2 linked regions of the Arabidopsis thaliana genome follow. The protein of the gene in region 1 interacts with the protein of each later gene in a pairwise test. Each region holds a gene or a part of one and is shown on either strand. Other genes may lie near its edges.

Region 1 (10,889 bases):
TTTTTCGAGGGGTTTGTTTGTTTTATCCTTTTTTATTTCTATAAGATCAATTTCTCATTGAGAAGAATACGATGGCAGCAGGGGGTGTTGATGTTTCCAGAAGTTCCGTTGCTGTCAAAAAAGACTACGACTTTTACAGGAATGGTTCTCGTGATGTGTATGTTCGACAGAGTGGTAGAGATGACGAGAGGCGTCAAATCAAAAGGCCTAGTGACCATGATCTCAGGAGGAATGATGGGCGTCACCGATCACGGTTGGCATATGAGAAAGGGGAACTACGGGAGGAAGCAGAGGTTCAGAGACCCTCTGAGAAAAGGAGGAAGTTTTCACCCATCGTGTGGAATGCAGAAAAAGTGGGTAGAGCTCCATCTAGGGAGAAGACCAAGTCTCCTTTCCCTGTTCCGACTACAACTGTGATATCCAATCAGGCTGTTGCTGGTAAGACTACTTCAAACGATCAAGTGAATGCCTTGATGTCGCCAGAACCTAGTTATCTTGCTCCAGTGCAGCCTTCAGAAGCCCTGCTGGCTGTGAAACATCCTGTTGATGATTTGGAGGAGGGTCAGTTGGAGGAAGAACAGGTGATGCAGGAGGATGTAAAGGAGGGTCTGTTGGAGGAAGAACAAGTGATGCAGGAACCAAATATAAAGACATCTAGGTGGGGGACAGGTTTGACTTCCCCAAAGGAGGAGTTAATATCTGTTAACGTTTCCAAGACTAATAGATGGAACAGGAGCAGTTTGACACCGGAGTGCGAGGAAGTAATGGTGTCTGAAGAACAGCAGTGCTATTCGTCTGGATCTGGCAGTGGACATCTCAGCGTAGAGAAGCTTAGTGCAGATGGAAATTCTGGTCGTGAGTATTATAGTTCTGATCATGATGAGTTAGAACATGAAGATCAAGATTCTTTAACTCCGGGAGAGATGAACATGATGTTTGGGAGCAGGTCTGTGAATGAATTTCAGAAGCTAAACAAGATAAATGAAGGAACATATGGAATTGTTTACAAAGCAAGGGATGAGAAAACAAAAGAGATTGTTGCGCTCAAAAAGATCAAGATGAAGGAAGATAGGTTCGAAGAAGAGTATGGATTCCCTTTGACATCATTGAGGGAAATTAACATACTTTTGTCATGCAATCACCCTGCGATTGTGAACGTGAAGGAGGTTGTGGTTGGAGGGAAAAACGATAATGATGTTTATATGGTCATGGAACACTTAGAACACGACCTGAGGGGAGTAATGGATAGAAGGAAGGAACCTTTTAGCACTAGCGAAGTCAAGTGCTTGATGATGCAGCTGTTGGATGGTTTGAAATACCTCCACACAAATTGGATTATCCACAGGGATCTGAAGCCATCTAATCTTCTGATGAACAATTGTGGGGAGTTAAAAATATGTGATTTTGGGATGGCGCGCCAGTATGGGAGCCCTATCAAGCCTTACACCCAGATGGTTATTACCCAGTGGTACAGGCCACCTGAACTTCTTCTAGGAGCAAAAGAGTACTCTACAGCAGTTGATATGTGGTCAGTGGGTTGCATTATGGCTGAACTGTTGTCTCAAAAGCCTTTGTTCCCGGGTAAGAGTGAGCTTGACCAACTTCAGAAGATCTTTGCGGTCCTTGGAACACCAAACGAAGCAATATGGCCTGGGTTCTCATCATTTCCGAATGCTAAAGCCAAGTTTCCTACACAGCCTTACAATATGTTACGTAAGAAGTTTCCAGCTATTTCATTTGTAGGTGGTCAAATTCTTTCTGAACGTGGATTTGATTTGCTGAACAGTCTACTAACTTTGGACCCTGAGAAACGTCTAACAGTGGAAGATGCTCTCAACCATGGTTGGTTCCATGAAGTCCCGTTACCAAAATCCAAAGATTTCATGCCGACATATCCTCCAAAGCGGTAACTGAGAAAAAACGTGCTATCATTTGGACGAGAGGATGTCAACAAATACACAGGGAAGTCGACTGGTCGTATTTTGGTATTTTCCTTTTTACTCAAAAGACTTGCTTTCATCTATTCTTAACTCAGTTGCGTTGCTTTGTTGCCTGGAGATTCAGGGCATTCTAGTGTACCATTTATTCGGATTCATGTGTAAATATGAGTGGTCCGTAAAACTGAAAGGTGTGTTTCTCTCTTTTCGTTAGGACCCTAATGTTATTGCTATCAAGAGTTGTACACACTATTGACTCACATGCTTTAATGGAAGAGATCTCAGTATTCACTTTCTCTCTCTAGTAATTGGGTTGGGATGGTTATTGTTTATGTCCTCATATTTCTTCTGTGCATTGTTTTTATTCACGAGGTAAACGCAAAGAGTTTATCACAAACGTGAGAATGGAAGTTGACATCAGTAAGTTTATTTTGATTACTTATTTACCACGCTCTGTTATCAATGTTGGTTTGTTGTTCGACGTCCCTTTGTCTTTGAGGTGCTCGTATTTGGTCTGTTGGCAGTGAGAAAAAGATGATTCATGATGAGTTTCTGTGGACATAGGAGGTATGGCAGTGGTTTTTTTCATGTTAATCCGAGAATTAAGGGATTTGGGATAAAAAGCTATATAGAAAGAAGCTAAAATAAGTTTGTCTTCAACACTATAACCCTTTGTCCTCCTTTCTTTTTAACTTCTGTAAACAGCTAAGCTAAATCAAGTTCATTTCAATAACGAATAAACTAGAATCAGCATTACCTTTGACGAGGCCATAAACAGAAAGGATATTACACAACACACAACAGTGATCAATATGAGGAAAAGCTTCTTTTGCGAGATGATCTGCATCGTTTCGGTCCTTAGTCTTTTGCTCCCAGCTCCTTACCATATGTCATTGTGCAGCTTCAGCTGTCTATTACCATTTAACAATCGGTAATGTTTCAACAATCACTTTTGTAAATTCCCTTTCCCATATTCCAAACTCCTGTAGAATCAAATCTCATATTGTAGTTGGAATTTTTCAAAACGAGGTTTCTAAATTAGTTTTCTCTATATCAGATAACCAACAATGATATTTTGTTCGAACCTTTGGTCGATTAAAGAGAACAGATAATGATTGCCACATCATCTGATTTCTCTAATGATACAGAATTTCATAAACAAATATATAGAAACGAAATACTGATTTATCAAGTTTAAAATTAACTAAAGAATGCCCTAGTCATGGGTCCTCCTTTCCAAAACTGTACAAGTGTCCCAGACAAAACGACCAGTTTAAAAGCCCTTATCGAGACATCACACATTACCTTTTTTAAACTTTACCGACTCTGACACCATCAGATCCACACGTGGCGAGAATTCATTTGGCCACTTTCCCCAATTAGGGTTCTTGGGCGTGGTTTTGATGGTGATTCAGTCTACCTTTTTCTCTCTGTCATCGAACCTCTCTATATTTAGTATTTCCTTATCTTCTTCAGCTGTCAGATTATAATTGGGTGAACATGTTCGATTTTATTGTTTAGTGTTGATAGGATTTAGTACTTGTCTTATATTTATAAAATAAATAGCCAAGGTTTGTCGATGGTGAGCATTTAAATTCGGGGTTCTTTTTTTTGTTGTTTGAATTAGTAACTAACGATGTTTTATCATTGGTTCCTTCATATCCAACGAAATGACAAAATATCACCTTTTTCTCAAATTTTGTAACTATTGATTCTTAAAAAAACATGGTACATCTGTTAAGTGTCTGTAATTTTTGATGTGTTTATGTATAGTTTTAATTTTTTTACATCAATGCATAAAGCGAAATGTTTTTGGTCATGTATATACAGTATGTGTTTTTCTTACAACAAATATATTACTGATGATATACGATTATATATATACGTATATAATATATGATTAAGAAATGATATGTTATATAGTCCGTAACGGATAAGATTGCTTTGTCCCATATGCATATTATATCATTAATGATATTTTTCATTTTTCGTTATTCATCCGTTATATTTTTCATTTTTCATTTGTCCCATATGCATATTATATCAGTAGTATGTTTCGATGGTGGTTTTATGTTGAAACTGTTGGCTATCGTATTATATAATTAATTAGGTATAGAATCAGCAGGTGAGGGTGAGAGCAAAGGTAGTCAATTTTATTCATTTGTTTAATATATACGTAGTAATCAATGTCTTTAAGCCAAATATAATTTGATCTGATCCAACCCAAAAAGATTGTATTTGTGCATCCTTCTTCTTTTAGTAACTATGACATGTTTTTGATAATTGCATTTACTATCTGTAGGGACGTCAAGTAGAACCACTAAAATCATCTATACTTTAATGATCAAGATTACATTGTTGAATTAAAACTTTAGCTACATCAACTCTATACGGTATATCGTGTTTTCCTTGCAACAAAATATGTAATAACGAAAAATGGAAGATGAGATATCGAATGTTAAAGAATCAAACCTAACTCTCAAGTCTCAACATCAGTCATCAGTTTCGTCCACATTCATGAATGTATAAATATATATGGACTAATTATTAAGCCTTGGTTAATTAAATAATGAGATTGTTTGTGTAAATTATAGTTGTAAGTTGATAAGCTAATTACATATCTCTACGTGTCCTCTTGCGTGCAACGTACAACGCAACACAAACCCATCAGATTTTTCTTGATGCCATCTCGAACTGCCTTCCGAATCTACTTTATTTCTATGTTACTATATTGGATTTTTAATAAGATTTTGACTCTCATGTCCATATATACTTTTTCCGAATCAATTGTATGATTATATTTAAGATGGCTCCATGATACCGTCACTCCCTCATGATTTTTATTTATACGCCATCCAATGTTCCTTCTTTCCCTTTCATAAAAGAGGTGGCCTAACTTCATTGGCACAAAATTCCTCTTTGGACATGAGATCATCGACCTTGTCCCGTTAATAAAGATTTGAGATCTAGAGTCACGATCACCTTTAGTTGATTAAGATTATATTCCACTAAATTAAATTCAGAATCGGTCAATGATAATGTATGAACCCTCATCTCTTGGACCATGCCTAACATTACCTTTTTTTTTTCATTTCGATGTACTATATTTTAACCTAATTTTGGCATTTATTCATGATTATCTGTTTTTAGGCCAAACAAATTAGTATACTATTCAGGTACTAAAGTAGTAAACACAAGGGTCAAAGTGATTATTAGCTAACCACGGGACCTACTAATTAATTATATACTATTAGACCAGATTAGGTTCTCAATTCCGTTCCTTATGTATACGTCTAATTATAAAAATCTCGAATGCTAACATCATATTTTTTTCATCCGCGCTTTGATTGAACAACCGAATATAAGAATCAAATATATACCTTCATGTCAAATATTAATTAGACCAATATACTGAGAACTTCGAATTTTCCAATAACAAAACACCGACCATTTTTAAAACATTAAATTACAATAAGTACTGCTTAATTTGTGATAAAAAAAAAATAGTACAAGTTTAATTATATTTCTATGTCATGCCATTTTTGAATAGTTTTTTTTGTCGTTTTAGAAAATAGTTTTAAACATAAATTCGATTCATTTTTCATGTCCATTACAGAAGGAAAAAGAGCATGTGCAAGTGCAACGGTGATAAGCGTATTCTAGACAAAGACACGCGTATCAACCCAACACTTGTCATCTTCAGAGTCCCTATATAAACCCCTTCACACACACCTCTCTTCATTATTCTTCAAAGCTCCCACTAAAACCTATTAAGAGAGAAAGATATATACAGAGAGAGATCATGGACGGTAGGGGAGGTTGTTGCATAGCCAGATATGGTGGTTACGGTGGTCGCTACGGTCTCTCCAAAGCAGATCGAATCATGCTTCGTTTTCGTCCCATTGCTCCTAAACCGGCCAGCGACGGTGGAAGTGTCTCTCTCACCGGGAAGAGCGGCTCCACCACAACTACAAGTGGTGGAAGCTCCGATCTCTCAGGTAAATCTGGGAGAGGAAAGAGAAAGTATCAAAAAGATTGTTCCGGTGGGAACTCCCGAAGGTGCAATAAGAAGAAGAGAGATCTAAGTGGAGACACTGCTACTACCACGGCGGTTACATTGTCTCTTTTACCAGAGACGCCTGAGAAACGAGTTTTTCCAGATCTGAATGCTTTTCCGGTGGAGAAGCAGAAGCGAAACGGTCCTTTATGGCTGAGTTTCAACGGCGGTGGTGAGATTTTAACGCCGTACAAAACGGCGGAGATATCACGAAGGACGGTGGTGGTTTCGTCGTGTGTGACGGTTGAGCGTGTGACTGACGCTTGGATCGACGGTTATGGATTAGGGGAGACAAATCAGGAGAGGAAGATGAATCTAGTGGAAGACACGTGTCCTGGTTTTATATCGGACGGTGTAGGGAGAGTCACGTGGACCAATGAGGCGTATAAGAAGATGGCTAGAGAAGATATTAATATTCCGATGGAGGAAGGTGTACCGGAGGATATTAGTTACGATAATTTTCACGTGAACGTACGGTTAGTGATGAAGGAGAGGCCGATGCTAACGTACCCAGCTTTCACATGCAGAGTGAGATTACAGTACACGTGTCAAGATCGAGAAAGAGGATCCGTCACGGTGCCTTGTGACGTGTGGAGAATGGACGGCGGTGGTTTTGCGTGGAGGCTTGACGTTAAGGCAGCTTTGTGTCTGTGACGTTCTTTCATTCGCCACCGTTGGATTTACAATGGTGAAAATGATGAATGGTCCCGATCGTATCGTATCACACATGGCCCTTCGTAGAACTAAAAATATAGCAAGTGATAAACTTTGGTTATTTAATTTTCACCTTGAACATATGTTTCTGTGTTTTATTTTTTAGTTTGCTTTCTTCTTTAGTTAGTATTTTGTTTATAAAATGCTGTTTTCTCTAAATTGCTAATCTCAAATTTATGTTTTTTTTTGTTTTGCTTAAAAATTTCAAGAAAGTTGTATATATGTATGCCTTTTACAATCATTAAAGTTTTTCTTTTTCACATTGTTCGTTTTCATGTCATTTAAGCTTGAAGATGAAATTGTCAACATTCGTTTGCAAAGGTGTTAACATAATAAACAGTCTTCCCAAGCCCATACAAGAGCATTACGTAGAAAAATAAATAGTTTACTAATGGGTAGCCTCATGATATTCACTAATGGGCCTGAAAATCAAAAGATTCATAGGCACGTGTAATTCAATCGCGCTATTTACAGGGCGCGTTTAGTGGATAAAATAGTCAAAATAGTGGAGACAATGTCGGTCGGTATCCGCGTCTATTACACGCGCTATAGTAACACGTGTAATCTATTAATTCTTGCGATTTGGAGTATTAATACTCACGCGCTCCAAGATCTTTTCTCAAAACAATTAGAGATCCAGATTCACTAGATTGCACCGTAGCCTTCACAGCCGTTAGATCTAAATATCGACGGTACATATCGAAAGGATAATTGTAGCCGTCTAGATTTGGTTGGCTGGAATTTAACGGCTTAGATTCGATTAAAGGCGGCGGGCTGCTCATCTCTTCGGATCTATAAGTAGAGAAGCAAATTGTTCGTTATTCTTCGTAAGTCTCTCTCTCTCCTCTCACCTCTTTCGTTTTTTCGAATTTTTTTTTAGTTTTCCATTCGAAAAGATATCCAGAAGCTCTCGATCTAGGGTTTTCCAAATCGATTTTGGTACCTTTTTTTTGACTCAGTCGAGGGTTTTTCTAGGGTTTCGATTAGCTTTTTTGCCAATTGCCGTTGAGGAAGATACTTCTTCGGTGAATTTGATTTGATTTTGACCTGAGGGAGAAGCAAGAAGCTTAGACCAATTGGGATTCTCAGTTTGGTAAGTCAACGTGCAATTCATAGGAATTCATCATCGGATTGATTTGGTAATCGCATTCTTGTGATATTTTTTCGGGGAATTGTGTTTTGGCTCGATAACGATGAATGGTGTCTATAGATTCATTGTTGAAGATATCTGCAAGATTTTTGGAGCAAAGGCATAAAAGCATTACTTGCTTGATTTTTTTTTTTAGTTTGTTTTATATTCTAATTTGATGGTGTGAAGACGATTAACTCTGAAAAGCGAATGAACTGTTGGGTTTCTGGTTTATAGCAAACGATGGGTAAAGCGCGGAAACACTCTAGAGGGAGACCATCAGGCTTTGTTCCTGATTACATGCAAGCTGTTGAGCCTGATGAATTTGTTTACTCAGAGAGGATGAATTCTGAGGCGTCTCCTCCACTGAAAAGGAGACGTTTTGGTTTGAATGGAGATAACAATGGCGTTTCTAAAGAGGTTTTGTCTCTGTCAAAGATGTCGAGGTCTGAGAGAAAGAATTTAGTTCACAAGTTGAAGATGGAGCTTCAACAGGTCAGGGACCTTAGTAAGAAGATTGCATCTTTCAGTTCAGACACTGTTCTGTTGTCGCCATACAATGATCATAGCTGCAGTGATGGGCCTAGGAGGCCGCCACCAGAAAACTTTGCTACATTTGTTGGGTCACAGGGCAAAAAGCGCCCTCCTGTGCGCAGTGATAAGCAGCGGAATAAGAAAGGTCCATCTCGATTAAATGTCCCAACAAGTTATACTGTTGCTTCAGTGATGAAGGAGTGTGAGACGTTACTCAATCGTTTATGGTCACATAAGTCGGGGTGGCCATTTCGTACTCCAGTTGATCCAGTGATGTTGAATATTCCAGACTATTTTAATGTGATTAAACATCCAATGGATCTTGGAACGATACGAAGCAGGCTGTGTAAAGGTGAATACTCTAGTCCTTTGGACTTTGCAGCAGATGTGCGTCTTACATTTTCAAATTCTATAGCTTACAATCCACCAGGAAATCAGTTCCATACTATGGCTCAGGGTATCAGTAAATATTTTGAATCGGGATGGAAAAGTATAGAGAAAAAAATACCTATGTCTAAACCACCAGTTATTCCCCTAACCAGTTCTGCTTCTCTGGAGTCTGAAATCCCTTTCGAAGTAGCACCGATGAGAAAGAAGGAAGCTGCAATGAACGATAACAAGCTGAGGGTGGAACCTGCTAAGTTGGTCATGACAGATGGTGAGAAGAAAAAATTAGGCCAAGATCTGATGGCATTAGAAGAAGATTTCCCTCAAAAGATTGCTGATCTCCTGAGAGAGCAAAGTGGCAGTGATGGTCAATCTGGAGAAGGTGAGATTGAGATAGATATAGAAGCGCTTTCTGATGAAATCTTGTTCATGGTTCGGAAACTCCTGGATGACTATTTAAGGGAGAAAAAGAAATCCATGGAAAAGAGCGAACCTTGTGAGATGGAGGTAAAGAACCTCTCTGATTATTTTTAGTAATCGTTTGTGTGCACTTGGAAATGTTGACATTTGACTTTTGGTTTTAACTTTTCTTTTACAGATTGTTCATGACTCTGGATTCAGTAATTCCCCTTTGCAGCCTAGTAAAGGTATGTTTTTGCTATTTAATTTGATGTCGAAAATGATTTCCTTCAGTAATCTGAGTATCTGATGTACTCATAATCACAGGTGATCTGCAAATTGACGAGGATGTTGACATAGTTGGTGGGAATGACCCCTCGGTCTCAAGCCATCCTCCTCTTAAGATAGAAAAAGATGCTGCATGTAGAAATAATGAAAGCAGCAGTTCGAGTAGCTCTAGTAGTGAATCAGGCTCTTCATCTAGTGGTTCGTGTTTATGCGAGCCTTCTTCTATTTCCTTAGAATAATCATTTTGTTTCTCTTAAATAGTGCATTGATTTGTACAGTTTGTAAGAATAGTTAAGATTGGAAATAAAGTAACTTTTCTATTGAAATGATTAGTATTGGACTCCTGAGTCTTGTTTTGTAATTTGAGCCTACGTCGTGTCCCATATTATCTTTTCGATGCTTTTTCTCTGCTCTAGTAAGTGTGGTTATTCCCTTGCTATAGAGGATATTATAGTTAGTTTCTGTGGTTATCGTTTATGACGAATGAATTAAGTTCTTACATTGTGGTTTGGCAAACTGTAGAATTGATTCCTTTGCTTTATTTTTACTCATAGGAAGTGCTTTTTATACTGATGTGTTCTGTGATTATCTTTCAGATTCTGATTCTTGTAGTTCCTCTGGGAGTGAAACAGATTCTATTAAAGCTTCAAAACCCACAAGTAGAGAGGTATATCTAACAGTGGAATAACTTATGTTATGGAGTCTCTGTGTTTGGATGTTGCTCTAATTTCTGCAAGATTTTTCATTTACTCACCAATATTTCCATGGACTATTTGCAATCATAAAAGTGAAATTACTACAGAAAAATAAGTATAGTCTCCTCTTTAATTTAGGAAAAAAAGCAACCAGGAGTTGGTATAGACAAAAAAGAGGATGATAGCAACAGTGAGAAGATAGTTGTAAATGGTTAGTCTCTTTATAATTGATGTATGCAAGTTGGAGTGCTCGGATATAGAAGTCTTCCCGACACTCATTCTTTGTTCTCTGTAGATTCTTTGAATGAATTGGATCAACTTGAGCATACTGTTGGGGAAAAGTCAACCACCATGGATGCAGTAGTTCTCGTTCCAGATGGTAAGAAATGAAAGTTAAGGAAGGTTGGAGATGGTAATAGATGTTTATTTTCAGATCATGAGTTTACCTGTCATGCTTTGGTATTATAGAGGAGACTGCTCCACCTGAGAGGCAAATTTCCCCAGATTCCCCAGATAAGCGTTACCGCGCGGCTTTCTTGAAGAATCGTTTTGCTGATACCATTATGAAAGCTCGAGAGAAGGCTTTTACCAAGGTTGAATTTTTAAGTGTCCGATCTACTGTGTTGACGAAAAAGCTCGCCTGAACTTGTGGATTGTTTTAATCAAAAAATTTAATGCATCAAATTTCAGGGTGAAAAAGGGGATCCTGAAAAATTGAGGATAGAAAGAGAGGAGTTTGAAAAACGGCT
Region 2 (11,237 bases), on another chromosome or scaffold:
GATGGCCGGTCTAGCACCCAAAACCAAAGTAAGTTTTACAATTATTCAATGTACAAGCAAACATGTGGATGATTCATGACTAATAATAATTGAAAAGGTTCTGAGAGATGGCAAGTGGAGCGAGCAAGAGGCAGCTATATTGGTGCCTGGAGACATTATCAGCATCAAGTTGGGTGACATTGTTCCAGCAGATGGTCGTCTCTTGGATGGTGATCCTCTCAAGATTGATCAATCTGCTCTCACTGGTGAGTCTTTACCAGTAACCAAGCACCCGGGCCAAGAAGTTTACTCAGGCTCCACCTGCAAACAAGGAGAGCTAGAAGCTGTTGTCATCGCTACCGGTGTTCACACTTTCTTCGGCAAAGCTGCTCATCTTGTTGATAGCACAAACCAAGAAGGCCATTTCCAGAAAGTTTTGACTGCTATTGGTAACTTCTGCATCTGTTCCATCGCTATAGGTATGCTCATCGAGATCGTTGTGATGTATCCTATTCAGAAACGAGCGTATAGAGACGGAATCGACAACCTTCTGGTGCTTCTCATTGGAGGAATCCCGATTGCTATGCCCACTGTTTTGTCTGTCACCATGGCCATCGGATCTCACCGTCTCTCCCAACAAGGAGCTATCACAAAGAGAATGACAGCAATTGAAGAAATGGCTGGAATGGATGTTTTGTGCAGTGACAAGACTGGAACTCTTACACTCAACAAGCTTACTGTTGACAAGAGCATGGTTGAGGTTTTTGTCAAAGACTTGGACAAGGATCAGCTTCTTGTGAATGCAGCAAGAGCCTCTAGAGTTGAAAACCAAGATGCTATTGATGCTTGCATTGTAGGAATGCTTGGAGATCCCAGAGAAGCAAGAGAAGGCATCACTGAAGTTCATTTCTTTCCTTTTAACCCTGTGGATAAGCGCACTGCTATCACTTACATCGATGCTAATGGAAACTGGCACCGTGTCAGCAAAGGCGCGCCAGAGCAAGTAATACAAAATTCATTTCCTTCTTCTCTCAAGAGTTTTCAAATTCTTTCCCACTGATTATTCTCTGTAATTCTTAGATCATTGAGCTCTGTAACCTTCGGGAGGATGCAAGCAAGAGAGCTCATGACATCATTGACAAGTTTGCTGACAGAGGACTTCGTTCTCTTGCTGTTGGCAGACAGGTATAATATTTAGTGCCAGTCCCAAAACTTTGGGATTCATTTGTGTTTCTTTCTCTTTTATCAATGCTCTTTTTCCTATTTTTTGAATTTCAGACTGTCTCTGAGAAAGACAAGAACAGCCCTGGAGAACCATGGCAGTTTCTTGGTCTGTTACCTCTCTTTGACCCTCCAAGACATGACAGTGCAGAGACAATCAGGCGTGCCCTTGATCTTGGTGTTAATGTCAAGATGATCACTGGTGACCAACTTGCCATTGGTAAGGAAACTGGTCGTAGGCTTGGGATGGGCACAAACATGTATCCATCTTCTGCTCTACTTGGACAAGATAAGGATGAATCTATAGCTAGCCTTCCTGTTGATGAACTCATAGAGAAGGCAGATGGTTTCGCCGGCGTCTTCCCTGGTAAAAACAATCAAATCTTCTACCTTCACAAGTGGTTCAACTCCATAAATTTAACTCTGTTTCATCTGTCTGATTAGAACACAAGTATGAGATTGTGAAGAGGCTTCAAGAGATGAAGCATATTTGTGGCATGACTGGTGATGGAGTGAACGATGCCCCAGCTCTCAAGAGAGCTGACATTGGAATAGCTGTTGCTGATGCGACTGATGCAGCAAGAAGTGCATCTGACATTGTACTAACCGAGCCAGGGCTTAGTGTCATAGTTAGTGCTGTCCTAACGAGCAGAGCCATCTTCCAGAGAATGAAGAACTACACAATCTATGCAGTTTCAATCACAATCCGTATAGTGATGGGATTTATGCTTCTTGCACTCATATGGAAGTTTGACTTCTCACCATTCATGGTCTTGATCGTTGCTATCCTGAATGATGGTACTATCATGACGATATCAAAGGACAGAGTAAAGCCTTCTCCACTTCCTGATTCATGGAAACTCAAAGAGATATTTGCCACCGGCGTTGTTCTTGGCACTTACCTAGCAGTCATGACTGTAGTTTTCTTCTGGGCTGCAGAGAGCACTGACTTCTTCTCTGTAAGAGAGTTCTATCTTACTTTTATGACCAGCTCGAGTAAGTGTATGTGTTGATCTTCAGTTTTCTCTTGGTGCAGGCAAAGTTTGGGGTGAGATCTATCAGTGGAAATCCGCATGAGCTAACAGCAGCTGTTTACCTACAAGTTAGTATCGTGAGCCAAGCGCTTATCTTTGTAACAAGGTCGCGAAGCTGGTCATATGTTGAACGTCCTGGCTTCTGGTTGATCTCTGCCTTTTTCATGGCTCAGCTGGTAAGTTAAAGATTCAGTACTCTTACATAAGAAGCTTCAGTATATACTGACACTGTTGTTGTTTTCATTCCAAGATTGCTACTTTGATTGCGGTATACGCAAACTGGAATTTTGCAAGAATCAGAGGTATTGGGTGGGGATGGGCAGGAGTTATCTGGCTCTATAGTATAGTCTTCTACATCCCATTGGATATCCTCAAGTTCATCATCAGATATTCACTGAGTGGAAGAGCATGGGATAATGTCATTGAGAACAAGGTTTGCTTCTCAGGCCAATACTGATGAGAACAAGAACACAGTAGTATAATCCTTTTTCCTAACCTTTGTTCCTCTGTTCAGACCGCTTTCACGTCAAAGAAAGACTACGGAAAGGGAGAGAGAGAAGCACAATGGGCACAAGCGCAACGTACACTTCACGGATTGCAGCCAGCTCAAACCTCAGATATGTTCAATGACAAGAGCACTTACAGAGAGCTTTCAGAGATAGCTGATCAAGCCAAGAGACGAGCTGAAGTTGCAAGGCAACGCTCAAGTAACTGATTATTCCATACCATTAGGTTCCTCAGAAAATGGGCTTACAAACATTTCTTGTCTTGTAAATTTCAGGTTAAGGGAACGTCACACCTTGAAAGGTCACGTGGAATCAGTAGTGAAGCAGAAGGGACTAGACATTGAGGCTATCCAGCAACACTATACCCTGTGATTTCAGAAACAAGTGTTTCTCAGTTTAGTTTTAGAACCCCACAAGAGTATTGAATAAATAACCACTTCCATAATTAGAGAATGCTGCAAAAAGAAAATTGTTTCTTTTGTTAGCAGTGGATGTGGCTTCTTCTTTTTTTATATTTTTGAGATATTCTTGTTTTTTCCTTTTTTACAAGAGTAATAAGATCTTACAATTACTTAGAATTCTTGAGTAAGTTTCTTCTAGTCTCTGTCCGCGCAAGAGAGAATGCAACAAAACCAAAAAAAAAAAGAATGCTCAAATCTTAGTTGCAAATGAGAAAAATCAGTGTTTCAAATCTCACTGAACTGAATTCCCTCCTTCAGTCTAACCAGACAAAGTCTCCAAAGCTTTCTCTAACTTGGATGACTTGAGCTCTTCTATTCCATAAACATAAAGATAAAGATAAAGGCTCCTTACTAAGGAGAAATATAATGGCACAAAGTTTGAAAGAAAAGTTCTGATACAGATCAAAACTGTTACAACCCATAGAGCTATAATGAATTAAAAGATAGGTATAATATGGTTCAAGCTTCCCTCGTTAGAACTAACTATAGATGGCTTTACTAAACTCTCCAGCTACTTCATATCGACTAAATGATGATTTACTGATGCGGCTTTGTCTTCACATGCTCAAGATACCAAAGCGCTCCTTCTGCTGCATGCTCAGCAGCAGCTTTCTTTTTGCGTCTGGGATCCCCAAAACACTCCAAAACAGTTTTCCCTGAAGAATCTCTAATCTCAACCATAACTTTGTATGTAAATCTGAACCAAAAAACCAAGTTGATGCAAAAAAGATTGCGACTCAAAAAATAAAAGCAAGTGCAGGTTAGAAGATGTTTACTTACAATCTCAAATGGCAAGGTCCATCAACATTGCAGCATTCATAAACAGGAGGTCTCCAACGCTTGGAAGCACACATTTCGTGTAACACCGATTTAGCTGAGCCTCTCCTAGTCTTAGATTCATCATCTGGAACACAAATTTCAGAACAAAATGACCAAAATTCTATCTTCTATACCAAAAATTGCAATCTCTGTTGGTTTCCGAACAAGTTTACATCATAATTAGCAAAAGAGGTGAAGAAAAAATGAATGAACCTTTAGATATGGGTTTGGTGGTGGTGGTGTGTTCTTCATCTGGTTTAGGAGCAAGCTTCTTCTCTAGTGAAATGCTTCTTGTGCTGTTAGGATCAATTTGAATGTTAGAGAAGGAAGAAATGGCATTGTCTTCTTCTTCAAACTTGAAGTCAGTCTTCTCTTGGAATCTCTGCATTCCCACATTATGATGATCTTGCGCCATTGGTTTCTAACAATTGACAGAAGCAAAGTTGAGATATTTATTACTATTAACCCATGATATAGCCAAATCACAGAAGAAGAATCATCTACAAATAGAAAACGCAGAGATTGTTCTCTGTTTCAAACCCAGATGATCAATTTTTTTGTTAGCGAGAAAGAAGAGAATATGGTTGGAGTGAATGAATATTTACCATAGAGGGAATAGAAGAAGGGTCGAGAGGAGGAATATCTTTGAGACTGATGATGATCGATCTTGACGGTTTTTTGGTTATCCGCTTCGTTTCCTGATCCTCCATCTTTCATATTACTACTCCTTGTCTAATTCCCAGATATCTTTCTTTGGGAATCGAGAAATTGAAAATTTTATCGATCATCGACAAAACGGATAAGGTTCATTAATTAATTCATTTCCCCACAACAACAAACTCTGTTATAAAAAGTCAACGTTTTTATTTATTTATATGTTAAAGCTTTTAAACCTTTAACTTTTACTAACCAAACTCTACTAACTTGTCTCTCGGTTCCATTTAAGCAAAACTTCCGAATTTTTTGTAGCAGTGATTAAACATACAACAATAAATTCTCCGGAAGAACCAACATAAGAGACAAATTCATAAACGCATTGATCTGTTACAAGAAAAAAAAAAAGAAAGGGGAAATGTTTTTTTATAAAATCCGCAATGATCCACCGAGTTCTACTGGTAGAAGAGGGATGAGTGAGTGCAAGACATCGGTTATAAGTGGTCTGTAACTTGGCTCCGGCTGTACACACAACACCGCCACCGCAGCTACCTGTCCAAAGAAAATATAACACAAAGTTCAAAGAGGAATCTTTTTCCTTCTATATTTGGCTAATGTGTTTTTCGTAAAATCTGTGTGAGATTTTGTTGAAGCTTTTTTACCTGATATAGATGCTTCAAATCCATGGTTCCTTTGATTGCAGGATCCAATATGTTTGGTAGATTAGCTCTATCACTCAGCTTAGGTACTGCCTGATGATCAACAAAGATCACAAGTCAGAGGATTTCCTGCTAAACGAAGCCACTATCTCGTGAAAGTTTTATTATGTACCCAAGTAACGATGGATTCTGGTTCAGAAGACGGTTTCTCCACTGATTTCTTCCCGAGGAGAAGTTCGAGCAGGATCACTCCAAATGAGTAGACATCATTCTTGTCTGTAACTTTCCCTGAAAGATGATTACAGAATGGTCGAAATTTGAGCATCTCGTTTGGCATATATGTCAAGATCGAACCCCGAAAAAAGATTAACTCCTTACCATCAAGAAGATCCTCAGAAGCCTTGTGTATCAGGTTTTTATTCTGCGTGGTCAAAACCGTGGCAAACCCAAAATCGGATATCTAAAGAGAAGCAAATGTGGCAACAGATCCTTAAGACTCATATTGTATGGAGAATACAATAAGTCTAAGAAGAATTTTCTACATTATATCATTTTCTCTTTTACCTTTGCATTGAAATCGGAGTCCAGAAGGATGCTAGATGATTTCAAATCTCTGTGAACTACAGGAGGATGGCAATGCTCGTGAAGATACTCTAATCCTCTTTATGAAAAAAGAATACTTTGTAAGCATACAAATATATGTTCTTGGAGATCACATGGAACTACTAAATGTTTGAAAGTATTATCAATGAATGGACTTTACCTCGCTATATCAACCGCTATCTTCATCCTGAGCTGCCAAGTTAAACCTGAACCTTGACTAGGCCCTTAGAGCATTCAAAAGCACAACAAAATCAAAATCAGATGACAAAAGATGGAACAAACATGGATCATATCCCCTTACCATGTAACTGACTCTCCAAAGATCCATTCTGCATCAACTCATACACAATACAACTCGTTTGCCGATATACGCAAAACCCCAATAAGGAAACTATGTTCTGATGCCTGATCTTAGCCAACCAATCTACTTCAGTCTGCATTAGAAAATCAACAAGAGAAAGCAAAAAACCGAGTTATGGTTTATCGAATGAGATGGTGCGATTCTGTATAATCATCTTAGGGGTCAAACCTCAAACTGTTTTTCAATGTCTGTCTCCCCACCGCCATCAAGTTTCTTCACAGTGACTGAGGATTTTTCATCGAGACAAGCTCTGTAAAGGCATCCACGACCACCTCGGCTCAACACATTACTATCACTAAACTTGTTTGTTGCAGATTCCAGCAATTGATATTCATACACAGGGATGGTTCCTTTCCTCACAGAATCAATCTTGTGTACAGTCGGTTTCGTGGTTACACTCTTCACCGAATCTTCAGATAACCAAAGCACCAAAATAAGCCATAACAAAACCAAGGAAATTACAAAAATATAAAGAGATAGAATTGAATACCGGATTTGCGTTTGATACCGGTGAAGCTGTTCTTCATATTCCTGTACCTCCATAGCAAGAGATACACAAGGAACATGACTGTGACACAGAGCAGAGATGATGAGACTATAAGAGCAATTAGAATCTTCTTGTTCAAGTCCTGGCGAAGCACCACTTTAACAATGGGAGGTCCTGAGCAAAGTTAAATTTAAATAAGGGATAAAATTCAATTTATTTGCTTAATTATCGGAAAGTTTTCAGTTTTAATTGGGAAACAGTATCAATTCAACTAAATTCAATTCCTTTATGAAAGTATGAGCAAACACATTTCGACAATTTCAAGAACTAGTAAGACCCAATCACCAAATATTGATATTTTTGTTCTTAGGGGCAACATGGAGAAAATTTGGAAAGGGGAAACTAATAAGTACCTGGGGATTGAGCTCCCATTCGTGGAGAAGCCTGAGAAATGGGGATTTCGGGGGAAGCACCAGAAACGTAGACAACGGAAGATTCTTGTGATTTAGTAGCAGTGGAGAAGAAGAAGAAACCAAGAAGAACCCAAATGGGTAGCAAATGACGAAGGAGACACATATTTAATTTTGTTGTCTGGTATCAACAAATATGCAGAGAAAAGACAAAAAGAGAGAGAGAGAGAGATAAAGAGTACGAAGCTGCTTCGTGTTCTATCTAATTCTTTTATGGAGATGGTGAAAAATGCTAGAGATTATCTTTGTCTGGAGGAGATGTAGACAAGAGACACTGTTGGAGTTGGGAAACAGAGAGAGAGAAGGACAAAGGTTTTAGGTGTTTGGTCTTCATGTGGCAGTTATGAAAAGGTGGACAAAAAGGCTAATAAAGCAGCAAAGAGTGCCTAATCCCAGACGTGGTGATAAGACGTGGAGTTGTGGAGAGAGTGAGGAGGAGGATGTGTAGTTAGCAAAACAGTTTCTTCCCATTAGCCAATCTTTAAAATTTTGATTTTCTCTCTACCATTACAACAATTTAACATCCCAATGTTAGAGATGATGCTGATACTACTAGTTGACAAATAGAATTAAACCTTTTATACGTAAAGCTAACAGATTTTTATCTATTAATTAAAGCCTTGTTCCTTTTTCTTTAACGTATAGTTATACTATATCTTTATTAAATTAGAAAAATCAAGAATACAAAGAAAGTACATAAAGCAATCAAAGTACAATCCAATTACATAAATGGTGTTTTTAATGTTCCTTCATATTCATAAGTTTAGTCTTTTAATTTCCAAGAAAAAAAAAATACATCTTGTCGTAAAAGAAATTATTATTTTTAATCAGATTAATAAAATGGTGTGATATATGGAAAGAATATGGATTGAGAATGGATTGTGTAATCTCTCGATAGAGTTGTTTGCATCGAGGCACAGTAATCCAAATGATTCGATTGGGTCACTCCCCAAATTCAATTCATGCGGATTTAGTGAACAAAACGACAAGTCATGGTTTAATAGAGTGCATCCAAGAATTTTATTCTTTTTATTTTAAAAAAATACAGACGACAAAGGTCCAAAAGTTTGAGCATTATTCATGTGAACTCTCTATGTCTGTCCTCTTCAAACTTTAATTACCGACACAAGTGGTCACTGACTAGTCACAACTGTACAGTTGAATAACAACTAGACTTATTGAGGGCCTTACAAGAATAATGAGCCTTTTATATCTTATTGGGTCAATACAAGCCCAGTTTTGAAATTTTGAAATGAATCAGTCGTTAGGCCCAATATCTGTTGGAAAAACAAATATAGTTATTGGGCCATTAAGGAATAAAAAGCCACAACAAGCCCAGTTTCGAAATTTTAAAATTGGATAAGGTTAAAAGCCAGCTGCCAGCGAAATTGAAGGATGATATATAGTTAGTTACATACTGTGTTTGTTGTTAGTTTGATTTGAGCTAATCTTCATCAAATCCATCATCCATGGATTTACCTGAAGAATGTTGGGAATTAATCTGCAAAGCTATCGATGAAGACGATTATCGATTCCTGGAATCTGTTTCACTCGTATCAACCTTGTTCCTCTCAATCACCAATCGCGTTCGCTCTACTTTCGTCGTCACCGATCGAGCTGTTCCTTTACTCAATCGTCATCTCCTTCGATTCCGCAACTTGAAGCGAATCAGGTTCTCTGATTTCACTCAGGATCTCAATTCGATTCTTCTCCAGGTTTCTCGTTCCGGTTTGGATTTCGAATCGGTAGATGTCTCGCAAACGCGCTATTTCCCAGATTTTGAGATGAAGAATGTCAAGGAATTGAAATGTTATGGAGTTGGAGGTTTTAGTGATAGCGATCTGGTTTCCATCGGAGTGAATTTTCCGTTGCTAGAGAAGCTGGACATTAGCTATCCTAATTCAAGTCCGAGTCGAGTCTCTGATTCTGGTGTTATCGAGCTTTCCTCGAATCTCAAAGGTTTGTTGAAGATTAACATTTCTGGTAATAGTTTCATCACAGATAAATCTTTGATTGCTCTCTCGCAGAATTGTCTTCTCTTGAGAGAGATAATCTTCCGTGACTGTGATTTCATTTCGTCGGATTGCATCAAATTCGTTCTTCGCAATTCCCGTAACTTGGAGTCTCTTGCGATCAACGGAATCGGATTGAGACCGAGGGAGTCTTTGTTAACCGATGCGTTCTTGTTTGCTCGTTGTTTGACTGAGCTTGATCTTTCGGATTCGTTTTTGTCTGATGACTTGCTCTGTTTGATTGCTAGTGCTAAGTTACCTCTAAAGAAGCTTCTTCTCTCCGATTGCCACGGTTTTACTTTTGATGGGATCTTGTATCTGCTGGACAAGTACCAATCACTAGTTCACTTGAACCTCAAAGGAGCAAATTTCCTCTCTGATGAGATGGTTATGAAATTAGGGATGTTCTTTCGGCGTTTAACCTTTTTGAATCTGAGTTTCTGTTCCAAGTTAACTGGTCTAGCATTCTTTAGTATTATTGAAAGATGTGTTTCCCTGAGGTGCATGATAATGGTAGGGACGAACTTTGGAGTGGAAGAATATACCAAGGATACGAAGGATTTCAAGTCAGGGGTCAAGTTTTTGTACTTATCTAGAAACCACAATTTGCTCGATGAGTGTCTCGAAAAGATATCACGGCATTGCCCTTTTATAGAAAGTCTTGACGTAGCTCAGTGTCCTGGCATCACGAGAGATGGGATTCTTGAAGTTTGGAGGAATTGTGGCAAGCTAAGATCTTTGGACATCAGCAGATGTACGGGCATAAAGAGTCTTGGTGTAGTAGACTTTGAGCTTCCAAAGTTGGAGTCTTTGCGAGCATGTGGAACTTGGATCGACGATGAAGCCTTAGATATGATCAGCAAAAAGTGTCGAGGGTTGTTGCATCTTGATCTGCAAGGATGCTTGAATGTGAGTTCAAGAGGGGTGAAGGAAGTTGTGCAGAGCTGCATACGTTTAAGAGAGATTAACCTCAAGTATTGTGAAGCTGATAAGAAAATGTACACTTGGATGGTTTTTGCAAATCCATCTCTTAGGAAAATCGTACCGCCATGTGGGTTTTCTCCAACTAAAGCACTCAAGAACTTCTTTCTGCGTCATGGATGTGTAGTCTCCCAGGATTCTTCTGAGTTGCTTTCTATAGCATACCGTGCCAATGGAAGAGATGATGACACATTGACTAGACTGATTATTTGAGCCATTTGTGAAGAAAAAAGGTATCAGCATAATAGTTTGAATGGAGAAACAGGGGTTAACCTTTCTTTGAGTTTATATTTGTCACTCTCGTTGTAATAAAATTGTCAAGCCAAAGGCAAGCTTGCGTTGATTTTTTTTTCAAATGTTCAGCCATCTTCTTATTCAATGATAGAAGTAACCAGCACTACTACATTGCAAATCAAAGCAAAGAGTAGTAACAAAAAGTGAAGACAAAAAACATGAAAACAAGTCACCAAGGCAAATAGCAATCACTCCCTCTTCATTTTTTGGGTCTTATACCTCAAGTAGCGAATCATATCCTCAGGATCAGAGACTGTTAAAAAGGCTTGGCGGTGAGCTACATCAGCCATCAGATGGTCCATGGAAGCACGGTATAAAGGCAACCACTTCTTCACTCTAGGTAGACCATTTAAAACATCCATTGCATGCGTCACACTGCATATGTAATCAGGATGATTCTTTAGTGCATTTTGTAGAGAGCTACCAAAAGCAGTAAAAGTTTTCCTTGCTATACTTGCAGCTCTGCTTTTCTTTTCGTCCAATGGTGGTTTCTTCTCTACTAGTTGTTTCTTCTTGGGTCTTCCAGGTCTCCTCCTTTTTTCTTCCTTTGGCTGCTCTGTTATTAAAACCTCGCTTTGTATTTCATCCTAGAACTATGCACAAAGTATCAGACTTTTCCAGTTTTACCACATTTCTTAATGGTAACAAAACATGCCAACATAGTCTATGGAAGATCTCGTTTTAGACTAATCGCTT

The links.
Region 2: the proteins of AT5G63350 (region 1) and RTL1 interact in a two-hybrid assay, tested with the Arabidopsis thaliana proteins (one large-scale study listed by BioGRID).

The regions. Positions count from the first base shown.
Region 1 is NC_003076.8:25,375,975-25,386,863, reverse strand, and holds AT5G63350 (von willebrand factor A domain protein), read left to right. Parts: upstream 1-5,546; 5' UTR 5,547-5,739; coding exon 5,740-6,648; 3' UTR 6,649-6,933; downstream 6,934-10,889. Other genes in the region: AT5G63370 (Protein kinase superfamily protein), read left to right, coding at 72-1,910; AT5G63375 (uncharacterized protein), read right to left, coding at 2,377-2,561, 2,695-2,824; AT5G63340 (uncharacterized protein), read right to left, coding at 7,190-7,254, 7,310-7,500, 7,652-7,755, 7,812-7,970; NPX1 (nuclear protein X1), read left to right, coding at 8,081-9,265, 9,357-9,405, 9,485-9,643, 10,042-10,112, 10,279-10,351, 10,436-10,519, 10,609-10,733, 10,831-10,889.
Region 2 is NC_003070.9:30,308,102-30,319,338, reverse strand, and holds RTL1 (RNAse THREE-like protein 1), read right to left. Parts: upstream 4,818-11,237; 5' UTR 4,731-4,817; coding exon 4,626-4,730; intron 4,442-4,625; coding exon 4,234-4,441; intron 4,106-4,233; coding exon 3,982-4,105; coding exon of another isoform or gene 3,978-3,981; exon of another isoform or gene 3,899-3,977; coding exon 3,739-3,898; 3' UTR 3,337-3,738; downstream 1-3,336. Other genes in the region: HA9 (H[+]-ATPase 9), read left to right, coding at 1-28, 98-982, 1,060-1,164, 1,258-1,567, 1,645-2,159, 2,237-2,410, 2,485-2,667, 2,749-2,930 and 1 more; AT1G80640 (Protein kinase superfamily protein), read right to left, coding at 5,101-5,226, 5,337-5,426, 5,506-5,621, 5,712-5,793, 5,898-5,994, 6,097-6,160, 6,238-6,370, 6,466-6,707 and 2 more; AT1G80630 (RNI-like superfamily protein), read left to right, coding at 8,724-10,460; AT1G80625 (uncharacterized protein), read right to left, coding at 10,730-11,128.